3 linked regions of the Macaca fascicularis genome follow. The protein of the gene in region 1 binds, or shares a complex with, the protein of each later gene. Links are inferred from orthologs where the notes say so. Each region holds a gene or a part of one and is shown in the gene's direction. Other genes may lie near its edges. The genes, in order: SRRM2, SNRPD3 and RNF113A.

What was found.
Region 2: SRRM2 (region 1) and SNRPD3 share a complex: the UniProt entries of both Homo sapiens proteins name them as parts of the minor spliceosome. The link is inferred for Macaca fascicularis from reciprocal best matches to the Homo sapiens genes SRRM2 and SNRPD3.
Region 3: SRRM2 (region 1) and RNF113A share a complex: the UniProt entries of both Homo sapiens proteins name them as parts of the minor spliceosome. The link is inferred for Macaca fascicularis from reciprocal best matches to the Homo sapiens genes SRRM2 and RNF113A.

The regions. Positions count from the first base shown.
Region 1 is NC_088394.1:3,614,130-3,621,805, reverse strand, and holds the start of SRRM2 (serine/arginine repetitive matrix protein 2), read left to right. Parts: upstream 1-2,555; 5' UTR 2,556-2,765; exon of another isoform or gene 2,766-2,773; intron 2,774-6,287; 5' UTR 6,288-6,319; coding exon 6,320-6,561; intron 6,562-7,427; coding exon 7,428-7,535; intron 7,536-7,676. UniProt on the Homo sapiens protein: Required for pre-mRNA splicing as component of the spliceosome. As a component of the minor spliceosome, involved in the splicing of U12-type introns in pre-mRNAs.
Region 2 is NC_088384.1:28,878,602-28,886,277, reverse strand, and holds the start of SNRPD3 (small nuclear ribonucleoprotein Sm D3), read left to right. Parts: upstream 1-3,749; 5' UTR 3,750-3,838; intron 3,839-5,430; 5' UTR 5,431-5,448; coding exon 5,449-5,574; intron 5,575-7,676. Other genes in the region: protein GUCD1, read right to left, coding at 2,712-2,754. UniProt on the Homo sapiens protein: Plays a role in pre-mRNA splicing as a core component of the spliceosomal U1, U2, U4 and U5 small nuclear ribonucleoproteins (snRNPs), the building blocks of the spliceosome.
Region 3 is NC_088395.1:126,231,481-126,238,204, reverse strand, and holds RNF113A (E3 ubiquitin-protein ligase RNF113A), read left to right. Parts: upstream 1-3,523; 5' UTR 3,524-3,629; coding exon 3,630-4,664; 3' UTR 4,665-4,721; downstream 4,722-6,724. Other genes in the region: NDUFA1 (NADH dehydrogenase [ubiquinone] 1 alpha subcomplex subunit 1), read right to left, coding at 1,857-1,946, 3,230-3,331. UniProt on the Homo sapiens protein: Required for pre-mRNA splicing as component of the spliceosome. As a component of the minor spliceosome, involved in the splicing of U12-type introns in pre-mRNAs. E3 ubiquitin-protein ligase that catalyzes the transfer of ubiquitin onto target proteins.

The DNA.
Region 1 (7,676 bases):
AAAGCTCTGGGAGAGGATCTGCAGGGCCTCTTCCAGCTTCTGGCTCCTCCTGGAGATCCCTGGCATGGGCACCGCTCCAATCTCTGCCTGGGTCTCCTACGGCCTCTTTCCCCGGGTGCCTGTGTTCTCTTGTCTTCTTGTAAGAATGTCACTCATTGGATTTAGGACCTACCCTAAATTCATGATGATTTCATCTTCAGATCTTTAACTCAACTATATTTGCAAAATCCCTTATTCCAAATAAGGTCACCTTCTGAGTATCTAGGTGGTTGTGAAGTTTTGGGGCACCACCATCCACTGCACTACAATGAATAATACAAATAAAATTTAAAGGGAAATTAAAAAATCATTCTAGGGCTGGGTGCCATGGCTCACACCTGTAACCCCAGCACTTTGGGAGGGTAAGGCAGGAGGATAGTTTGAGACCAGGAGTTCGAGACCAGCCTGAGCAACACAGGGAGACACAATCTCTACAAAAAACTACACCCACCTCTATCAAAAATACAAAAATTAGCTGGGCGGTGGAGTGCACCTGTAATCCCAGCTAATTGGGAGGCTGAGGCACAAGAATTGTAGTGCGTGGAGATCGTGCCACTGCACTCCAGCCCGGGTTAGGAGTGAGACTCTGTCCCCCCCAAAAAAAAAAAAAATAGAGAAAAGACACGAAGAGAAATTTCTTCAAAGATGCACAAATGGCCAACAAGCACATGAAAAGATTCTCAGCATCATCAGCCATTAGGATACTGCAAACCATGTTTTGTCACTATTCACGGGCATTAAATGTGCTGATGCACGCACGAAACAGTTCATAAAGGTATCAGTGGGGGTACAGGAAAGGGTCTCATTGGAGGTACTGGGGTCTTTAACCAGTAAGGCAAAGCCTTTGCCACTTTGCTATGCCACTCCCAAGGTGCGCCCGGCTTACAGAAGCACCGTCCACAGATGCAGAGTTCAAGCACTCAAACCAGCGATCAGAGCTCCTGCAGGAGTTGGGGGTGGAGGGGGGAGGGTCTCCCGGCTCCAGCATCTGAGATGAGTAGATCCTCCCACGGGCAAGTGAAAAACAAAAGTTAAAGCCGGATGTGGGCCGGGCGTGGTGGCTCACGCCTGTAATATCAGCACTTTGGGAGGCTGAGGAGAGCAGATCACCTGAGGTCAGGAAACTGAGACAAGCCTGGCCAATATAGTGAAACCCCGTCTTTACTAAAATTTACAAAAATTAGCCGGGCGTGGTGTCACACGCCTGAATTCCCAGCTACTCGGGAGACTGAGGCAGGAGAATCACTTGAACCGGGGAGACAAAGGTTGCATTTAGCCGAGATCACGCCGTTGCACTCCTGCCTGGGTGACAAGAGTAAAACCACGTCAAAAAAAAAGAAACAAAAAAACAATTGCCAGATAGGGTGTTGTGCACGGCTAGTCCCAGCTACTTGGGAGGCTGAGGTCGGAGGATCGCTTGAGCTCCAAATTCGAGAACAGCCTGGGCAAGACCCTGCCTCTTAAAATCACGCCCAAATCGTAGTATCAAATATAAATCTTTGCACTCAAACGGACAGTTCATTACGTGGCACCGAGTCCTGTTGCGGATCAAGGCCACCTGAGTTGGTTAGGACAGCTAAGCCCACGTCTTGGGCTGCTCGCCAGCGGTGGGGCTAGATATGACCTTGTGCCCGAGCAGCCCAGCGTCTTACAACTCTGCTGTGAGGGACGGGGGCTGATTATCAGGTCCAGAATCACGAGTTTAGAAACATTAACAGGAAGTACGGTACCGAAAAGTGGAAAACTTTAAGGTGCTTATTATTTTTCTCCTGACTTGTTCCTGCATGTGCCGCTCCACGGGTATGACGTCCCGGGTCCGGTGGGACCCTGGCCTGGCTGCCCTACCGGAAGCGAAGCGAACTCCACCCCCAGGGGCAGCCGTCGGGCCTCAGTCCAGTCTACATCGGGAGAGCGTGGCCCATGCCACAGGCAGCTGGTTGGGCCCCTGGCACAAGTCTAGGGCCTGCAGCCAGGCTCGGGGGCTCCGGGGGTGCCCGCTGGCTGGGGTCTGAGGCGGCTTCTCTCGGGTACGAGAAGGCCGACTGCTGTGCAGCCGCGGGCTCGCTCGGGAAACCCACACTTACACAAAAGCGGCAGCACCACTGTGCCTAGGCTATCGACTCCCAACATGGGGAGACAAAATGGCCGCCGCGCCCAGAGCCGAAATTACATCCGGGCTCCGCGACACGTACGAACCACAACTCCCAGAATGCTCTGCCTCGACGGCGGGAGGCGAGACGCGCTCGGGCCCCGCTTAGGTGGCGCTAGGCCCTGTGGCTCCTCCCTGCAGCGGAAGGCCTCCGAATACGCGGCGTGTTAGGTCGATTCCTCCATTCTTCGTTGCACTGGCCAACGGGACGCTTAGTCTTTTGGCAACAGGGTGAAACCTGCCTTGTGCCTGAAGAAACGATACTTCCCGTTGTGGTTTCGGCGCCTGCGCAAAAGGCTGCGGGACGCACTCCAGTTCCCGGCAAGCCCCGCGACGCGCGTTTGCGTGCTGACGCACGGAGTTAGTCGTGCTGACGTGCATCGCGGCCCAGGCGGGGTACGAGTGGCGCAGTCGGAGCCCGCTGCGGCCCCTGAGGAAGCCAGGAGGCGTCGGCGTCGGCTGAGGCGGGCGGACCGGCGAGGCGAGGCGGCGGCCTCAGGCCCCGAGGGACTCGGGAGCTCGCGCAGCGGCGGCGGCAAGACCTCTCCCCCTCGGAGGCGGCGGGCGGAGGCGGCGGGTGAGAGGGTGAGGGAGCCAGCGAGCCGGGTGGGGGAGGGGCGGCGGCCTCGGCGCGAGGCCAAAGCGCGCGGAGAACGGCCCAGGCCGCCGAGCTCTTCCGCGCGCACGCGCGCTCGCCGCCCTTCGCTGGCGCGGACACCTTCGCCTCCCTTCCCCCTTCCCGCCGTTCCTGTCGCGCGCGGGCTTCGACCCCCCCGTCCCTCCCCCATGACAACGGCGCTCGCAGCCGCCTGTACTGGGGTTCGCGAGCGCCCTTGGCGAGGGGGGAGCGCGCCGCCTCGGCTTCACTCCTCCCCACCACACGTGCGGCCGAGGGGCCTTCCCGCAGCTGCCGCTTTCGGCCCTTAAGTGACGGGGAAGGGGCGGCGGCGGGGGACGTGCTCCCGGACCCTTGCCCCAGGCTCTCGATCTCTTGTTCTCGGGCTTCTCTTCAGCGTTGGGCTGCCCGTGCCAGGGGCCTCCCAGACTGCGGGACGCCGCGCAGCCCCCTCCCCCATTCTGCAAGGCCGAAAATAGGCCCCCGGCGCTGCGAGGAGGGCCTTGAACTCCGTGGGCCCGGTTTAAATGGTTTGGACTGTGCTATCAAGCCTTTGAGTTGTTAGTGGCGGGGAGAAACCCCAGATCTTAAAAATTGTGAAGAAAGTGAAGGCATTCAGTTTACATTTGTAAGGTAGACTGTTCCTTTTTTTCTTACACTTTTTTAACATTTCCCGAGAATTCGTGTTAAAACTAAGGAGGCTTCTGGAGACCTTCGTTGGGAAGAAAACGCCAGACTCGTATATAAGTTTTCTGGTTGGTTTCAGGCGTTATTTGGCACACAGCTCTTCTGAAGCTTGGTTTCCACTCGCCTTCAGTTAGGACGAATCTGGATCAAAATTTCAGAATGTTTTGTTGCCTTTCATCCTAAGTGCGTGGGCTTAGGGCTCTTCTAAAGCTACTATTTTAGTTTTCTGGGTTCTTTGTGTCCACTCAGCCGCGCTGGAGCGCCCCGGTGCTGAGCTGGCTGTGCTTCCTGAGGTCCATTTTCTTGGACAACCCTTGTGTCCCCTTTTGGTACCGTTTCCTTTTTTGCATATTTTAATGTTGAATTTAAGGATATCTTTCTACTTCCTTGTTAGCTTGGCACTCTGATAGTTTCCCAACAGAAAAGGGTCTTTTTGTCTTTCTTTGTACCTTTTATTTTCTGCTTTTACCTTGGTTAACTTTTGCATATCCGCTGTCTATGGCCCCCACTTTAAGAGTTTTATAAAATCGTTTGGTTTGGTGATTTGTGTGTGGTGTCGATGTTCCTACTTTCCGTGTCTTAGCACCCCCTTAGATGCTGTGGGGTCGTCGTCTTTTTTTGTGAGGTAGGGGTGGCTCATTCCCTAAAAGTTCTCCGAAACATTGTGACCTAATATCCTTTGCTTAGCACCTACTGGTTTTCCTTTTTTTTCTTTTTTTTTTCTTTTTTTTTTTTTTTTTGAGACGGAGTCTAGCTCTGTTGCCAGTCTGGAGTGCAGTGGCGCGATCTCAGCTCACTGCAACCCTCCGCCTCCCGGGTTCAAGCGATTCTTCTGCCTCAGCCTACAGCCTACGGAGTGGCTGGGATTACAGGCACGCGCCGCCCCCCAGCTAATTTTTGTATTTTTAATAGAGACTGGGTTTCACCATGTTGGCCAGGCTAGTGTCAATCTCCTGACTTGGTAATCTGCCCACCTCGGCCTCCCAAAGTGCTGGCATTACAGGCGTGAGCCACCTTACTCGGCCTGGGTTTCCCTTCGGTTTTCCCTTCTTAGGGAGTGGGAGGATTTTTGTGTGAGGTGGTATGGAAGTGTGGGTGAATGGTTGAGCTGAAGAATTAATTGCAGGTCAAAGACATGCCTGCAAGGGAAGCAGAAATTTGGTGGGGTAGGGAGAGGCAAAGAAGGACCTAGTTTTAAACTGTGGGGAGGATTGGAACTAGAAGATGAAAATGAGGATTGGGGTGTAGAGAAATTGATTTTTTGAGTCATAATGTTTTTCATTTTTTCCTGGATTTTTGCTTGCCTTTTCCAGGTTTAGTTTCCTCTGTCACCTTCTACTTTCGATATTGGGTCTGCTACTGGGATTGGGTAGGGACCCATCCTTAGTCTAGGGTGAGGAGGTATGGGCTAGCACCCTTCTATATACTCTGTGTGCGTGCATGCACTAGTATATTTTTCCAAACATTTGTATGATGCTTCTTCATTCTGGAATTTTCTAAATGCATCCTTCCCTTTTATCCAGTTCTTTTACGTCTTTGATCACTCTCTCCACTTTGTCTATTCCATAGGGTTTTTTCTGGGTAGTTTTTCCTCATACGTGTATGTTCTAGGAAACTATCTTGGAGAGGATGAGGATGAGAAAGAGAGTATGTGTAGCCAAGGAATCTCACTAGAAAAGCTGGGACTTGAGAATTTTTCAGAGTCACATCAGGGTTGGGACTAGTTGAAAGGCTAGAACTTGGGACGAGGCATGGGGTTAACACAGGAAAGAAGGAAGCGGCAGGGCTGGGAGAAAAAAAACTAGGAAGTGCTATCCAGGGGATTGGTGGGGAAGGCCAACAGTTGGAGATTAATGAAAGTGGGGTGTAGAGAGGGTTTCTAGATAGATTTAGAGCAAGGAATATGGAGAAGGTATGGGAACGGTTGGAACAGAGACTGATTTGATGTGTTTAAATAGAGCAGAGTTGAAAGCAGATAATATTTGACAGCTGGCAAGACTTGGAGGAACTGCAAATTGTAGTAAATCCTATTGAGAGGAAAGAAATTGGAGGAATTGGAGGAATAAAAGATCAGGATGGTTGATAGGATCTTTAAATATTTGGAATCAAGGAAATGGCCCTTACCTGGGAGGTGAAGTGTATGAAGATTATCCAAGGTTCATGTGTGTTTCTGATGTGCGTGCTGACCTTTAGTTGGGGTGTGAGGCTGCACATTCTGAACCAAGTAGTCTGCTGTTCAGATACCTAGGGACTGTGTAGTTTATTTCGTATTCATATAGGGTGGTCTGAAATCCGTAGGTCAGTTTTTGGGAGAGTCTTTGGACATGGACTAGAGGCCCTTGGGTGCCACAGATCTATGTCTGGTATTTGTTGTGCCTTGGTTGGTTACTAGAGGTTAGAAAGTAGAGTAGTTGGTAAGATGCTCCTTGTGCATTTTGGGGCCAAAGGAAAATGAAAAGGGACAGTGTGGAGAGATTTTAGAGGAACAAGATCCTTGTTTGCCTAGGGTGGAAAAAGAAGAAAATCTAGGTGCAGGGAGGGATTATTTAGAATTCTGTGCAAGGGCATTGAGAGAAAGGTTGTAAGAACTGGGCTGTGATTTGGTAGGAAATTTGGAAGGACGAAGAAGTGGTTTTTTTGGCAGACCAGGAGGATGGTGGAGCGTTATATAGTGAAGACTTAGTGTGAAGATAAATGTTGAAATAGGGATGAAGGAGAGCAGGGACTTGGGTGTGGGGTGGTAAGTGGTTAGTTTGGGGCCAGGGGCCTGACCCGTGTCTCCCCGCTCCCCCTCAGGAGCGGTGGTGCCCCCCCCCGGGCACGGGGCCATGTACAACGGGATCGGGCTGCCGACGCCCCGGGGCAGCGGCACCAACGGCTACGTCCAGCGCAACCTGTCCCTGGTGCGGGGCCGCCGGGGTGAGCGGCCTGACTACAAGGGAGAGGAGGAACTGCGGCGCCTGGAGGCTGCCCTGGTGAAGCGGCCTAATCCTGACATCCTGGACCACGAGCGCAAGCGGCGCGTCGAGCTGCGATGCCTCGAGCTGGAGGAGATGATGGAAGAGCAGGGGTGAGGGAGAGCTGGGGGAGAGTCAAGCACTGAATGAGTGCAGAGCTGGGGGTGTTAGGTGGGATGTAGGGAGCTTAGGGTGGTTGAAAGAGTCCTGGCAAGGAGTTGTGGTAGGGGAGGAGGCAAATGAGCTCTAGAGAATTGAAAACAGTTAAGGGACAGTGCAGAGTGGGAAATGAGAAGGCTGTGTGTCTGAGGCATAGATGGGAGCCTGAGGGATTAAATGGAGGCACATGGGAGAAGGGAGGGGCCGTTGAGGAACAAAAATGTGTTTCAGGGGAGAGATGGGAAAGCAGAGACCAGATAGAGGAGCTAGGTAAGCTGATAGGTGTTGTCATTGGTAGAAAAGAAGAAGAATGGATATAAGGATTGAGACCTTGGAAAGTAGCATGGGCAGGAAAAGAGGAATTAGAAGAACATTTGAAGAGGGAATCATGGGCTGGGAAGGGAAATTTTGGAAAAGGAGCACATTAAGGCAGAAAACTTTTAGAGCAGTGGTTTTAAACTTCAGCAGTGGTGACCCTTTTATACAGTATCCCTCACTTTGGAATCCCAGGAAATAAAAGGCACGTTCTTGTTGAAGTTGGGGAGGAGCACTTGAAACCCTGCTTGCTTAATTTTTTTCTTTTGGCCCCTGAAGTGTAGCATATTTAAAATCCACTGTTCTAGCGGGAGTAGTAGGTAGAGGGAAGAAAGATAATGGGAAAAGATTAGACTGAAGAGAAGGAACTTTTGGGTGACAGCGAGTGAAAACTTCTGTGTGTGCATGGAGAGGGAAGGGCCCCTTTTGGGAATGAGGGAAATGGAAACCTGGGACTGGGGAAAGTGTCCTGTCAAGCTTAACCCTGAAGGGATTTGTTCTTCAGGTACGAGGAACAGCAAATTCAGGAGAAAGTGGCGACCTTTCGACTCATGTTGCTGGAGAAGGATGTGAACCCTGGGGGCAAGGAGGAGACCCCAGGGCAGAGGCCAGCGTGAGTGTTGCACTCTCCCTCGATGACTCTGGACTCTACTCTGGCTGCTGGCTGCCGCTCCCGTCCTTTTCCTTACGTGGGACTTCCTGCTTTTGTCTGCCTTTTCCATGTCTTATTTCGCTCCTGCTTATACTTGTGTTC
Region 2 (7,676 bases), on another chromosome or scaffold:
CCACTGAGGACACGCAGGTGTCACCATCTACAAGGAACAGGCCTTTACTAGACACAGAACCTGCCAGCGCCTTCATCTTGGACCTCGGAGTCTCCAGAACCGTGAAGAATTAAATTTCTAGAGCTGGGCACAGTGGCATACACCTGTAATCCCAACTACTCACGAGGCCAAGACAAGAGACAAGGAGTTTGAGACCAGTTTGAGCAAAATAGTGAGACCTCCATCTCCAAAAAAGAAAAAAAGAAATTTCTATCGTTTCTAAATTACCCAGTCCTGACTATTTTGTTATAGAAGCACAAATGAACTGAGACAGCAGGAAACCTGCCAATCTTGTTCCCTGTTATTCTCAGTCACTGGTGTTGGATGTTTAGTAGTAACTCAATAAATATTTGCTGGAAGAAATAAACTTTTTTAGGCCAGGCACGGTGGCTCACACCTGTAATCCCAGAACGTTGGGAGGCCAAGGCAGGCAGATCACTTGAGGTCAGAAGTTTGAGACCAGCCTGGCCAACATAGTGAAACCCCGTCTCTACTAAAAATACAAACATTAGCCGGGTGTGATGGCCAGAGCCTGTTATCCTAGCTACTTGGGAGGCTGAGGCAGGAGAAGTGCTTGAACCCGGGAGGTGGAGGTTGCAGTGAGCCAAGATTACGCCACTGCACTCCAGCCTGGGCAACAGCGAGACTCCATCTCATTAAAAAAAAAAAAAAAAAAAAAAAAAGAACTTGAAACAGGGTCTCACTCTGTCGCGCAGGCTGGAGTGCAGTGGTGTGACCAGAGCTCACTGCAGCCCTGAACTCCCAGGCTCAAGGGATCCTCTGACCTCAGCCACCTGAGTAGCTGGAACTATGGGCACACACTACCACACCCAGATAATTTTTAAATTTTTTTTGTAGAGATGGGGTCCCATTATGCTGCCCAGGTTGGTCTCAAACTCCTGGGCTCAAGCAATCCTCCTGCCTTGGCCTCTCAAAGTCCTGGGATTACAGGGGTGAGCTACTACTGTGCCAGGTCAGAAGAAATGAACTTACTAAGCACTCACTGTTTGCTAGGCTCTGGGGACACAAAGGTGACTAAAAACCCACCTAAGCCCTAACTCCTAGGGACTCATAAAATGCTGAGCAGTGGGAGAGCTCTGCTTTCCTCTATCGCACAAAATGAGAATTCTTCAGTGGCAGATGGAGACGAGGTTGCATTTGCCTCCTTCCAGCCCTCAGCCCAGAGCAGGCACTTAGATATGCTTGGGGAATGGAAGGCATTTTCCAAAAAGACCTCATACCTTGAGATGCCCAGGCCTACTTGCCACTTCACTGCTCTGCACCCCTCTTCCCCCAGGCGTCCAGACTACAGCCTTCTGTGTGAGGTTCCCTCCTTACTCTGTGGCTTGAGCTGTGACACTGACTAGCTGAGCTATCTTCTGCCAGGCTGTGACTCTGTCCATGCCTTTCCGTGTCCAGCTGTAAAATGTGGCACAGGACAGCAGCTCTCTCTCAGAGACTCAGCTGCCCCTCCTCCTCTTGCCCTGCAATCGAGAACTCCTTGATCCTGAGGCCTGGCAGGCCCCATAGGGCCATCTCCAGTCTTGGCAAGGGCAGATGGGACCTAGAGATGCTCATGTTGGGGGAGATAATGTTAGGCGAGGCCTTGGCATTTGTCCCCGTAACAGCTTTAGCCTTCTGAACACAAAGTCACAGCCAGATGTTGCTGCCTGGAGCCAAGGGGCTGCCTGGAAGGCCCTGGTCTGACCTCAGTTAGTGGTTGTCACTAAGGAAGGCAGGTAGTGTGCTAGCCTTGAATACTTAACCCATCTCAGACTCAGTCTGGTCAGCTGAAAAAGTGCAAATCACAGTGGGCACCTACTTCACTGGGTCGTTATCAGGATTAATGAGGCACTGCATGTAAACAACTGCGCACAGCGCCTGCCTGCCTCATAGAAAGGTCCCTGTGAATGTAAGCCTTTCCTCCTCTGAGGCTCAGGAAAGGCAAGTATCTTGTCTCAGATCACAGGGCTAGACAACTGGAGGAGGAGGGATGTAAATCCCCCCCCACTCCACACAGCAAACACAAAAGAGAACACTCCCTGGGAGTGACACCTGAAGGTCAGGGTCCCACATGTTGTTGACCTCTCCCACAGTTGGCACTTCACTTGAGAGTTTACTAGCTAGCACTCCGTTCCTCACCAACCCTGCGCCTTCAGCAGGACAGGAATCACGTCTTCCCCCTCCCCTACCTCTTGGGCAAGCAAACTAACTGCCAAGACACTGAAAACCAGTCCGAGTCTCCGCCCCAAAGGGGCTCAGGCTACCGCGTGGCAGAGGGAACCAGAGGGGGAAGAACAGGAGCAAGACAAAACGCCGACTCTGGGAGGCCAGAGCACCGGCCCTTTCATTACTCGGTGCTCTCGGCCAGTTTCCTGCCCTTCCCAGCCTCAGTCCTCCACGGTTCCCCAAGGCACGAGAGCTCCCAAGGCGGCTCCAGTAGGACTTTTCGCTTCTGGGGAAGGTGGCGCCCCTTCTACCCGGACCCTCCCACCATGCGGACAAGGGTCGCAATCCTGCCAGTGTCAGGAAACCCCCACTGACTGGAGCGAGGCGGGTGTGGGGGTGAGGCGGGAGTCGGCCCAAGGTCGCGCGGCTGGACCCTGCCCCGCGCTAGGGCGGGGTCCCCTTCGTTCCTAGGGTGAAGACTGGGCCCACAGAGAGGCACTGACCGGGCTCGAGCGGCGGCCCCGCTGCCTCCGCCTCCGTCCTCATGACCCGGGCGGCGCGGGGCGCCCATGGCCCCGGCCCAGAGCGGGCTACAGCTTCCGCTTCGGCTGGGGCGGTAGGGCGGTCGGTGCGTGTCGAGTTCCTTCTCCGCCACCGCCGCCGCTGCGGAGGGGAGAACCGGAGGCGGTGGCTGGGCCGCCCCAAGCCCCGCCCCAGCCCTTCCAGGTCTCGAATCTGGAGGCCCCGCCCTTTCTCTAAGCCCCGCCCCAAACTTTGATCCTAGAGGCCCCCAGCCTCCCGATTTAAATCTGCCCCGGCCATTCACCGCCTCAGCGTCGAGTGACCCAGCCCTCTCGTCCAATCCTCGCGCAGCCGCGAAGCCCAACAAGACGCGGACCCGGAAGCTCCGCCCCTTTCCTTGAGCCCCGCCCCAAAGCCCGTGCATTTCGTGAACAGAGGCTCCTCCCTTCAGCAAGCCCCGCCTCTGCCGGGGCCCGCTCCTTTGCCAGTCTTAGCTGTAAACCCTGGTCCGGCCCAGTGTATTCCGGAGGCTCCAAACAACTCTCCTTAAACTGCCTTTAGGGATGACCCTGAGCCGGCCTCCTCTCTACTCTATACCTAACTTTATCCGTACGAGATACGTAGCCTCACTCAGGGCGCCCCTTACCTGGCGGTGCTGGGATCAAAAAATTAAATTGTGAGGGGAAGTCCTGGCCCTTGGCCCAACCTCCTGCTGCCCCCGGTCTGAGGGCCCAGGCCCCGAGTCTCCGCCTTGCCGTCCAGCCTGTCCTTGGTGTGGGGCGCTTGGAAGTGCAAGCACCCTCTCTGGCTCTTTGCCGGCCCCAAGGGTCGTTGTTTGCGGCGGTCCCCGGGCCCAGTCTTCGGCCCTCTTTTCCGGTGCCGGAACTATCGTACTGGTGCCTTAGTTTCCCAGCCGGCACGCGGGGTGAGGAGGAAGCGGAGGCGACACCGCTCTCACCACTGGGGAAAGGAAGGAGGCGGGCCCTGCGCGCAGCATTTTGGGAACGAGTGGAATTCTGGGAGCTGGGCCCGCCATTCTCTTGATTCACGCCTTCGCCGTAGCGGCTTTCGCCGTGCACCGAAGAGAAGGAAAAGTAGGCCAGAACCGGTGAGGCTGGGGACGGGCGAGGGGAGGTCGAGGTGCCTGTGAGGGGCCGGGGGCTGGAGAAAGACTCAATGCATGAACTCTGCGGGATTCGGGGAGGGAAGAAAGCGGGAAGTTTGGACCACCCAAACATCAGCGTCGCCTCACTAGCGCCTGGAAGTAAGTTCATTAGCTGCTCCCTCAATGTGCATGCTTCTTACATTCTGTATCTCTCCAGGTGAGTGTTTTTCAAAGTTTCCAGGCAGTAATCTTGAAGTTATTTCCTATGAGTTTTTTGAATCTTGAAGTCAAATCCTATGAGGGTTTTTTTTTTTTTTTTTTTTAAAGTAGAGACGGTTTCACCATGTTACCCTGGCTGGTCTCGAACTCCTGGGCTCAAGGGATCCACCGGCTTCGTCCTTCAAAAGTGTTGGGACTACGGGCGTGAGCCATCGCGCCCAGCCGGTCATTTTTTAAAAAGTTCTTTGCATGTCTGCCCCCAGCTCCCTTTCAGGCAGTGGTCCCGTCATGCTTTCCACACTGTTGCAGCAGTTTTAACTGTTGCAGAAATTTTAACAAGTTTCTCTGCTTCTAAACCTTACGTTAGATCCATTTTGTAAATAAATGCTGCTACCTTTTCATTGTGTCATTCTTTACCTATAATTTTGCAGTGGTTCCCCACTATCTTCAGCATAAAATCTAGGCTCCTAAGGCTGAAAGCCAGGGATCCTCACCAAAGGAGCCTGTCTTTTCAACCTCATGTTCTCCTGTCTTAGGTGCACTTAGGTTCCAACTTTGAGTCGTCGCTCATGTCAATAAAAAGTTCACTACTTGATGCTTTTAATTAGGTCAAGTCAGGTGCTTTCCCTTATTTTCCTCCATGACGGGCATTTCCTGCATATAGCACGTTGTCACTTCGATATTTTCTCAATATCCTTGATGGTAAAGTAAGGGAAGGGTTAAAGAGCTGCATTAAAAGTACAGTCTCCTCTCCTAGATATGCATGGTCCTTAGGTCTGTATCTGCTCCTTCCGTAGGGTAGCCACCAGCTACATGTAGCTGTTGAGCACTTGGAATATGGCCACTGGGATTGAGGGACTGGGTTTTTTATTTTAATTCTATTGTGTTTTAGTTAAGTTTAATTTAAATAGCTACATGTGGACATGAGCTACTGTATTGGACAGCTCAGGCCTGTGTTATGATTCTCAAAATATAATAATCTACAATTAAGGGTTGACAAATAACAGTGCAACAGATTAACATTCCAATCCCCCTCCCCTACACACACAGTATTCGCTAATGGTCCTTTAGCTGAAGATTAAGGGACATAGGGTAGCAGGGACACATGGTCGATGGGAGATGCTCTCTTTTCATTCCTATTTTTACTTCTGTCCACCCCACCATTCCTCCTCACCCGACATCTTGCACATATTTGCCAGATAGTTTCCTCCAAGCCAGGAGCTGAGCTTTCTTTTTTCTTTTTCTTTGATAGAAAATGCAGCTTTGGCGTTTTTGCTAAGTTTTATGGAGTGCCAGGCCTTGAAGGAGGCATGACGTGTGCCGCATGCCTTCTCAGACTCTGAAAGATGAACTGACTGTTGTCTCTTTCACTGTAGAGCTCTCTTCCTGCCAAGATGTCTATTGGTGTGCCAATTAAAGTGCTGCACGAGGCCGAGGGCCACATTGTGACATGTGAGACGAACACCGGTGAGGTATATCGGGGGAAGCTCATTGAAGCAGAGGACAACATGAACTGCCAGGTATTCTGCTTTGCATGTGAGGCTGTGTGGGAGGAATGGCCCTGTGTCTTGAAGGACAGAAAGGTGTGGGTTGGGGGTCTTCTGTAAATTGTTCTCATTCAGCAATGATTTCCTGAGTGCCTAACACATACCAGTCAGGTGCTGTTATAGGCTCTGGGGATGTGGGCATGAACAAAACACATAGTCTTGAGGCAGAAAAGCCATTTGGAGATTTGGAATATTTTACTTCGCCTTTTTTGTTTTTTCCATCCCCAAATTTGGGGACCTGTTTGGGAGAAGTTCCTTCAGTAGAATCCTTCAGGTTCAGAGCCATTATCCATTTGCCTCCACTTGCTTTGCAGTTAGGAGAATCTTCTCACATACTGTGTTTGTTTCCCTTTTCTCTTGGAGGAGGAGTCTCATTTGATTATTGCAACTACCTTGTGAGGTAAGCAGGTTTGGTGGTAGTCTTGTCATCCATAAAATAGGGAGAATGAGATTAAAGGACTCATCACTCTGATAGTAAATAATGGAGTAGTTTCTTGATACGGTGTCCTTCTCATGGCGCAGCTTTGCCTTTTGCATAGTCATCTGAATTTTTATAGCATTGTTTTTCAGTTGTATCTTCACACTTTCTTTGTTCTTTAAACCATTGGTTAAGAACTTGGACTTGGGAGTCAGAGAGAGATGTGGGTTTGATTCCTAATTATATGACCTTAGATGTATTAATCACTCAGTTTTCTCATCTGTAAAACGGGAGTGTTATTATTTTGGGTTCTTTGATGTAGATGCCAAGACAGAATTATGCAAGGTATTTATTGGGGGAAATGACAATAAAGGATAAAGGAACAAGGAAACAGTAGTAGGCAGGGAAATTTTCAGTCCGTGATGCTGGTCTGACTGGTGAAACGAGAGGGGAAAGAAGGAGGATTGAGCAGGAAGAACCTTAGACTACAGTGTAGTTTTGAGGAAGTCTCAGCAAGGCAGTGATTGCTCATTAGAAGAGTCTAACATGGGGCAGAAATGGGCAGACTGGCACCCCTGGTGTGTTCATTCCATTGGCTGGCAGCCTGGGGAGACAGCCTCTCTCCCCAAGTTGAATGCCATGGTGGACTGCAAAGATGGAGATTGTCGGCTGCCTTCACTCCTCATAGCCTGTTTTCTTTTGGAGGGAGATCTGAGCAGCACACCCTTAAGACTGCCACAGGGATAATATCCACACCCCCAGGACTTTTACAAAGATCAGATGAGCTATATGTGTGCAATAGCTGCTCGGTGCCTCACATACTGTAAGTGTTCAACGTATGGTGTTTACTGCTTTTTTCCAGATGAGAAGGTCAGAGAGGTAAAGCGTCTTACACCACGGTCAGGTATCCTGACCATCTATTGGTTTGCGCCATTCATTTATTTGTGATTTTTCTGTAGCTTTGAGCGTCTATCATCTTCCTGCGAGGTTGACAAGCTTGGTCAGTTCCCTGGATGCAGAGAAGTAGACCTCTGGTGACTCAGGTTTATTGCATCATTGTCAATAGATCAGTTTATCTATTGACAGTAGATAGGTTTATCATCTCTCTTTCATATATCCAGACCTCTGGCTTAAGGCATGCTCATCCACTTTAAGGTACTTTAATTTGGTAAGGAGAATGCAGGACTTGGGTTAGTGAATCTTAATGGGTTTGTCATCTAGCTATATGTATTTGGACAACCTGCTGGGTTTCCAGGGCCTTTGTCATCCCATCCATAACATGAAGGTGTCTAACCAGATAACCTCGGTGGCCATTCAGAGATGCAGTCCACGTGACACAAAGTGCACAGAACTTGGAGTCAGACAGACCTGGAATCAGCTTGCAGCCTGCCACCTAGGGTGACTTGGGGTGAGCTTTGGACCTCCTTCGTCCTCTGGTCCCTCTTCTAAGTCAGGGATAAAAATAGCTCCTTGGCTTCAGAAGGAACCATAGTGCGGAAGAAATGAGTAGATGCATGTCACATGCCTGACCAATGGTGGGGGGGCAGCCACCTGCCTCCCTGCTTGTATTTGTATGCTAGTGCTGCCAATAACAAAGTTTCACAGATTGGGCAGCTTAGACAACACAAATTTGTTTTCTCCTAGATCTGAAGGCTGG
Region 3 (6,724 bases), on another chromosome or scaffold:
AAGGAGAAAATATTAAAAAGTAAACATTTTGGCTGGGCACGGTGGCTCACGCCTGTAATCCCAGCACTTTGGGAGGCCGAGGCGGGCGGATCACGAGGTCAGGAGATTGAGATCATCCTGGCTAACACGGTAAACCCCGTCTCTACCAAAAATACAAAAAATTAGCCGGGCGTGGTGCTGCGCGCCTGTAGTCCCAGCTACTCGGAGGCTGAGGCAGGAGAATGGCGTGAACCTGGGAGGCAGAGCTTGCAGTGAGCCGAGATCGCACCACTGCACTCCAGCGTGGGTGACAAAGCAAGACTCCGTCTCAAAAAAAAAAAAAGTAAACATTTTAAAAGAATTATGAGAATGAACTACTCCTACAAAATATAAAAACATACTATTAGGGCCAGGAATAGGGGCTCACACCTGTAATCCTAACACTTTGAAAGGCTGAGGTGGGTGGATCACTTGAGGTCAGGAGTTAGGAAACCAGCCTGACCAATATGGTGAAACTCTGTCTCTACCAAAAAATACAAAAAAAAAAAAAAAAAAAAAGCTGGGCATGGTGGCGGGTGCCTGTAATCCCAGCTACTCAGGAGGCTGAGGCACAAGAATCGCTTGAACCTGGCAGGTGGGGGTTGCAGTGAGCCAAGATTGCACCACTGCACTCCAGACTGGGTGACAGAGTGAGACCTTGTCTCAAAAAAAAAAAAGAAAAAAAAAAACATACGATTAGGTCAAACCTTATGAAAATGCTACTGCTTGATCGTTTTTGACCTACAAAAATGGCAATGCCATAACTGAATCAAATATAAAAGTATAGTAATTCTTTAAATGAGGTCTTGTTGCAGGAATAGGCAGACCTAGAGTACAGAAAAGCACATCTGTGAAACAGGCCCATGTGTATATGGAAATTTAGTATACCAGAGTGGTATTACAAATAAAAATGAACTGGGTGTTTGGTGGGGGTTTTTTTTTTTTTTGAAACAGGCTCTCATTCTCTCACCCAGGCTGGAGTGCAGTGGTACGATCCTACCACACTGCAGCCTCGAACCCCTGGGCTCAGGCTATCCTCCTGCCTCAGCCTTCTGAGTAGCTAGGACTACTAAATTGTTCTATAAATGGGTAATTGCGATAACTAGCTACCTCTTGAAAAAAAGTAAAGTTAATCCTCCCTTCACATTATACTCCAAAATGACCTGTAGATGGGACCAAATAACTAATTTTTTTTAAAGAAACAATATTAGGAGAAATTATTTTTTAAAACTAATTTTATGAGCCAGGTATAGTGGCACACCTGTAGTCCCAGCTCCTCTGAAGGCTGAGGCAAGATCACTTGAGCCTATGAGTTTGAGGCCAGCCAGGGCAACACAGCAAGACTGTCTCTATTTTATTTTTTGAACGTATTTTTATAACCTTAGGTAGAAAAGGCCTTTGTATGGGAGACATAAAAACTCAGAATGCAGAGCAACAAAACATGATAAATTGAATATCAAAATTTAAAACTACCTGATGAAAAACATCATAAAGTGAAAAAGACAAACAGCAGACTGGGAAAAATGTTTGTCATATATAAAATAGACAAAAAATTAAAAGTCTAGAATATATAAAGAACTATAGATTGAAAAGAAAAAAGACAAAACAATAGAACAGGCAAAGGATATAGGCAACAATCCACAGAATAAGAAATATATGACAGTAAGAAAAACTAAAAAAAATAAGAAACATAAAAGATTAAATATGTAAAAAGATGCCAACCTCACTAGTAGACAAGAAAATGCTAGTTATATATTAGCATTGTATGACCCTTGGCAAGGCATTACCAGAACCCACCTCAACCCTGGCAGAAGGCTGGCATCAGAGTGGCTTCTTACCTTTGACACATAGTGACGATTAACTCCAGAGATGCGCCTATCTCTTTCCATCAGATTCCAGTGATACCCAAAATGAGCAATCCTTTTTTCCTTCAAATAAGAGACAATTATTGTTGCAGTTTATAAAAGTGAGTGACCCAGTTGATGGATATTACAATTTTTAGAAGGGACATTCTAGAGAAATGGAATCATCATTCAAATAAAAATGCAAATTAGTAGTACAAGAACAGAATCTCCTAAATAAAATCAGACCACTACACTTTAGGATTAAGTTGGTGACCGTGACTTCTTACACTATTTTAACCAACATGAATTTTTTTTCCTTTTTAAAAAAAAGAAAAAAAAAAGAAATATCTAGTTGTTGCCTTTTGGGACACTAAGAAACAACAGCTGTAGATCACACGTGGACAATCACAAATTCAAAAAGTAAGTAAATTTATACTCTGTACTCTAGAGATGATGTGAAGGGCTAAGAGGGGAAAATGAATCCTGATGTAAAACACAAGACCTTGCAGTAAATTCCTAAACGCTTGCAAGAGAAAGTGGGGAATAAAAAAGTCAAGGGTGGCCGGGAGCGGCGGCTCACGCCTGTAATCCCAGCACTTTGGGAGGTCAAGGCGGGTGGATCACCTGAGGTCAGAAGTTCGAGACCAGCCTCGCCAACATGATGAAACCCCCGTCTCTACCAAAATAAATAAATAAATAGCCGGGCGTGGTCCCGGCTACTCAGGAGGGTGAGGCAGGAAAAATTTTTTTTTTTTTTTTTGAGACGGAGTTTCGCCCTTGTTGCCCAGGCTGGAGTGCAGTGTCGCGATCTCGGCTCACTGCAACCTCCGCCTCCTGGGTTCAAGCGATTCTCCTGCCTCAGCCTCCCGAGTAGCTGGGATTACAGGCATGCGCCACCACGCCCCACTAATTTTGTATTTTTAGTAGAGATGGGGTTTCCCCATGTTGGTCAGGCTGGTATCGAACTCCCGACCTCAGGTGATCCGCCCGCCTCGGTCTCCCAAAGTGCTGGGATTACAGGCGTGAGCCACCGCGCTCAGCCAGGAGAATCTCTTGAACCCGGAAGGCGGAGGTTGCAGTGAGGGATTCTCAGGCTTGAGCCACCTCTTCTAATCTACCTTTCCGGCCCCCGCGTCGCTACTCTGCCCTAAGGCCCACTTTGATACACCCAGAAACGCTGTTTTTCACCAGAGCAGGATGTGGTTTCTACCGCGCTTCGTTTCGCAAGCCTCGGCTTCTAGGCAACCGGAAGAAAGTAGAGGGCCGGCCTCGGAGAGAGGGTCCGCAGGCTGACGGCCTCTCTGCCCACCATCCTTTTCAGAAATCAGCCAGTGGAGTCAGCCCCCGGGCCCAGGAAGCCGCCTTACCTTGCCCCCGTTAGTGAACCTCTGGATGTACGCAGTAGCCAGTCCTGGAATAAGCAAGCACACGCCCATGGCGGCGAGTCCGGGGAGAATCTCGAACCACATCTCTGCCCCGTTATCTAGGCCAAAACCCTACTTCTGGGTCCTTGAAAGGTGACCGGGCTTCGGCTCCCTTCCCAGTAAGCCCCGCGGCCGCCCGCGAGCGGGGCGGTGCCACGTACGGCTCCGGAGGAAGCGACGGGATCTGCCAGGGCTCAAGAGAGGCTGGCGCTCGCGCTCTCGCAGTTCTCTTCCGTCAGTGTCTTTTGCTTCGACTCCCGGCGGAGCGCGCGACGTGGAGTAACGCGCAGAGGCCAAGTGCAACCCAGGCAGCGACGGCCGTTTCGGAGCTCGGGACTCTAAAATGGCAGAGCAGTTTTCTCCAGGGAAGACGGCGGATCAGGTGTGCACCTTCCTTTTCAAAAAGCCTGGGCGGAAAGGGGCTGCTGGACGCAGAAAGCGCCCGGCCTGCGACCCAGAGCCCGGAGACAGCGGCAGCAGTAGCGACGAAGGCTGCACTGTGGTTCGACCGGAAAAGAAGCGGGCGACTCACAATCCAATGATACAGAAGACTCGTGACAGTGGTAAACAGAAGGCAGCTTACGGCGACTTGAGCAGCGAGGAGGAGGAGGAAAATGAGCCCGAGAGTCTCGGCGTGGTTTATAAATCCACCCGCTCGGCGAAACCCGTGGGACCAGAGGATATGGGGGCGACAGCTGTCTATGAGCTGGACACAGAGAAAGAGCGCGATGCACAAGCCATCTTTGAGCGCAGCCAGAAGATCCAGGAGGAGCTGAGGGGCAAGGAGGATGACAAGATCTATCGGGGAATCAACAATTATCAGAAATACATGAAGCCCAAGGATACGTCTATGGGCAATGCCTCTTCCGGGATGGTGAGGAAGGGCCCCATCCGAGCGCCCGAGCATCTACGTGCCACCGTGCGCTGGGATTACCAGCCCGACATCTGTAAGGACTACAAAGAGACTGGCTTCTGCGGCTTCGGAGACAGCTGCAAATTCCTCCATGACCGTTCAGATTACAAGCATGGGTGGCAGATCGAACGTGAGCTTGATGAGGGTCGCTATGGTGTCTATGAGGATGAAAACTATGAAGTGGGAAGCGATGATGAGGAAATACCATTCAAGTGTTTCATCTGTCGCCAGAGCTTCCAAAACCCAGTTGTCACCAAGTGCAGGCATTATTTCTGCGAGAGCTGTGCACTGCAGCATTTCCGCACCACCCCGCGCTGTTATGTCTGTGACCAGCAGACCAATGGCGTCTTCAATCCAGCGAAAGAATTGATTGCTAAACTAGAGAAGCATCGAGCTACAGGAGAGGGTGGTGGTGCTTCCGACTTGCCAGAAGACCCCGATGAGGATCCAATTCCCGTTACTTAGCTGTCTGATAATTCTTAAATTTAAATAATAAATATTTTGTTCTTTTGGAAGTCTTAATTCGTGTCCTTCCTTTGTAGAGACAGTGACAGAGAAGGCGGGTGGTGAAGTAGGGTCCTGGATTAAAAACCTCAAGGTAGGTATAATCAGGATTTTTAGCCCTAGGATAACCATTTTGCCTGTGTTTCTTTTCAGAACACTTTGGCATCAATTATAGGGGTGGGAGTAGTTTGAGAAAAGAGCTATAATTTGCTTGAAGTAGCCAAAGCTATGACGAAAGTAAGAACTCTGAGCCTGTTTATCATATCACATTTCTGTATCACTTAATAGTTTACAAAGTACTTTCATGCATTCTTTCTCTTGGGAGCCTGTACTACAAAATATACCGGAGCCAAGGTGTTGGGGAGAGGGGTTGCGTTTGGGGAATTGGTAGCTAGTACCACAGGCTTCACATATGGGAAATGTTCCTTGCTGTCTGGGTTATTTATTTATTTATTTATTTATGAGACGGAGTCTCGCTCTGTTGTCCAGGCTGGAGTGCAATGGCGCGATCTCAGCTCACTGCAACCTCCGCCTCCCGGGTTCAAGCGATTCCCCTGCCTCAGCCTCCCGCGTAGCTGAGACTACAGGCGCTTGCCACCACGCCCAGCTAACTTTTTGTATTTTTAGTAGAGACGGGGTTTCACCATATTAGCCAGGATGGTCTTCATCGCCTGAACTCGTGATCCGCCCACCTCGGCATCCGCCCACCTAGGCCTCCCAAAGTGCTGGGATCACAGGCGTGAGCCACCGCACCCGGCTCCCTTGCTGTCTTGGAAGCAGCTATAGTTAACCCCCTCTTCCATGGATGATAAAAGTATCTGTGCTCAGCTATCCAAGTGTGATAGACACTAGCCTCATGTGACTGTTGAGTACTTGAAATGTGGCTGACCACTGTATTGGACATTGCTATTGTAGACTGAACTTGTGAACCTGCAAAGGGCAAAAACATAGTATTTTATCATCCATTACCTGAAACTATCTGTGTTCTCACAGTCTCTGTAATAGTGTTGATCACACCTTATTAAAATTAGTGGATGTACCTGTCTTTCCAACTGGTTTATGAACTCGGTGACTAGCCTAGTGCTTGGCATATAATAAGCACTTAATAAATAAGCCTGGAGAGGTTTAAAAAGGGAGATTGGGGCCAAAGCCTTGAATCCAAGCTGAGGAGCACTGACTGTATTCTGTAGGCAGTGGGGGAGATAGCAGAGGTTTGGGAAGAGAACACAATCAGACGGGGTTTTTTGTTTGTTTTAGTGTTACTGTGGTTGCGGCTATAGGATGGATCACAAGGGAGATGGAAGACAAGAGGCAGGGAGGCCAGTTAGGCCAAATGATTAGTAAATTTTTATTGATATGGCTAGAATTTGGGCTAATCCCAAGAAACAGATGCAAGAATAAATTCTGGGTTAGTGGTTTTTATTCACATTCATTAATCCGTTTAAAGACATCCTTTTTTTTTTTTTTTTTTTTTAAGACAGAGTCTTGCTCTGTCATCCAGGCTGGAGTGCAGTGGTGCAATCTCGGCTCATTGCAACCTCTGCCTCCCAGGTTCAAGCGATTCTCCTGCCTCAGCCTCCTGAGTAGCTGGGACTATAGAAGTGCATCACCACACCCAGATAATTTTTGTATTTTTAGTAGAGACAGGGTTTCACCATATTGGTCAGGCTGGTCTTGAACTCCTGACCTCGTGATCCGCCCGCCTCGGCCTCCCAAAGTGCTGGGATTACATGCATGAGCCACCGCACCCAGCTTAAAGATATTATTTGAGTAGCTACTCTATCAGGCACTGTGCTTGGCATGGGGGATATTAGCAGTGAACAAGACAGACACAGCCCCTGCCCTCATGGAGCTGGACATTCAATAATGACTTTGTTTGTTTTTGAGACAGTCTCGCTGTGCCACCCAGGCTGGAGTGCAGTGGCATGATCTCAGCTCACTGTAACCTCCGCCTCCCAGGTTCAAGCAATTCTGCCTCAGCCTCCCGAGCTGATCTCGAACTCCTGACCTCATGTGATCCG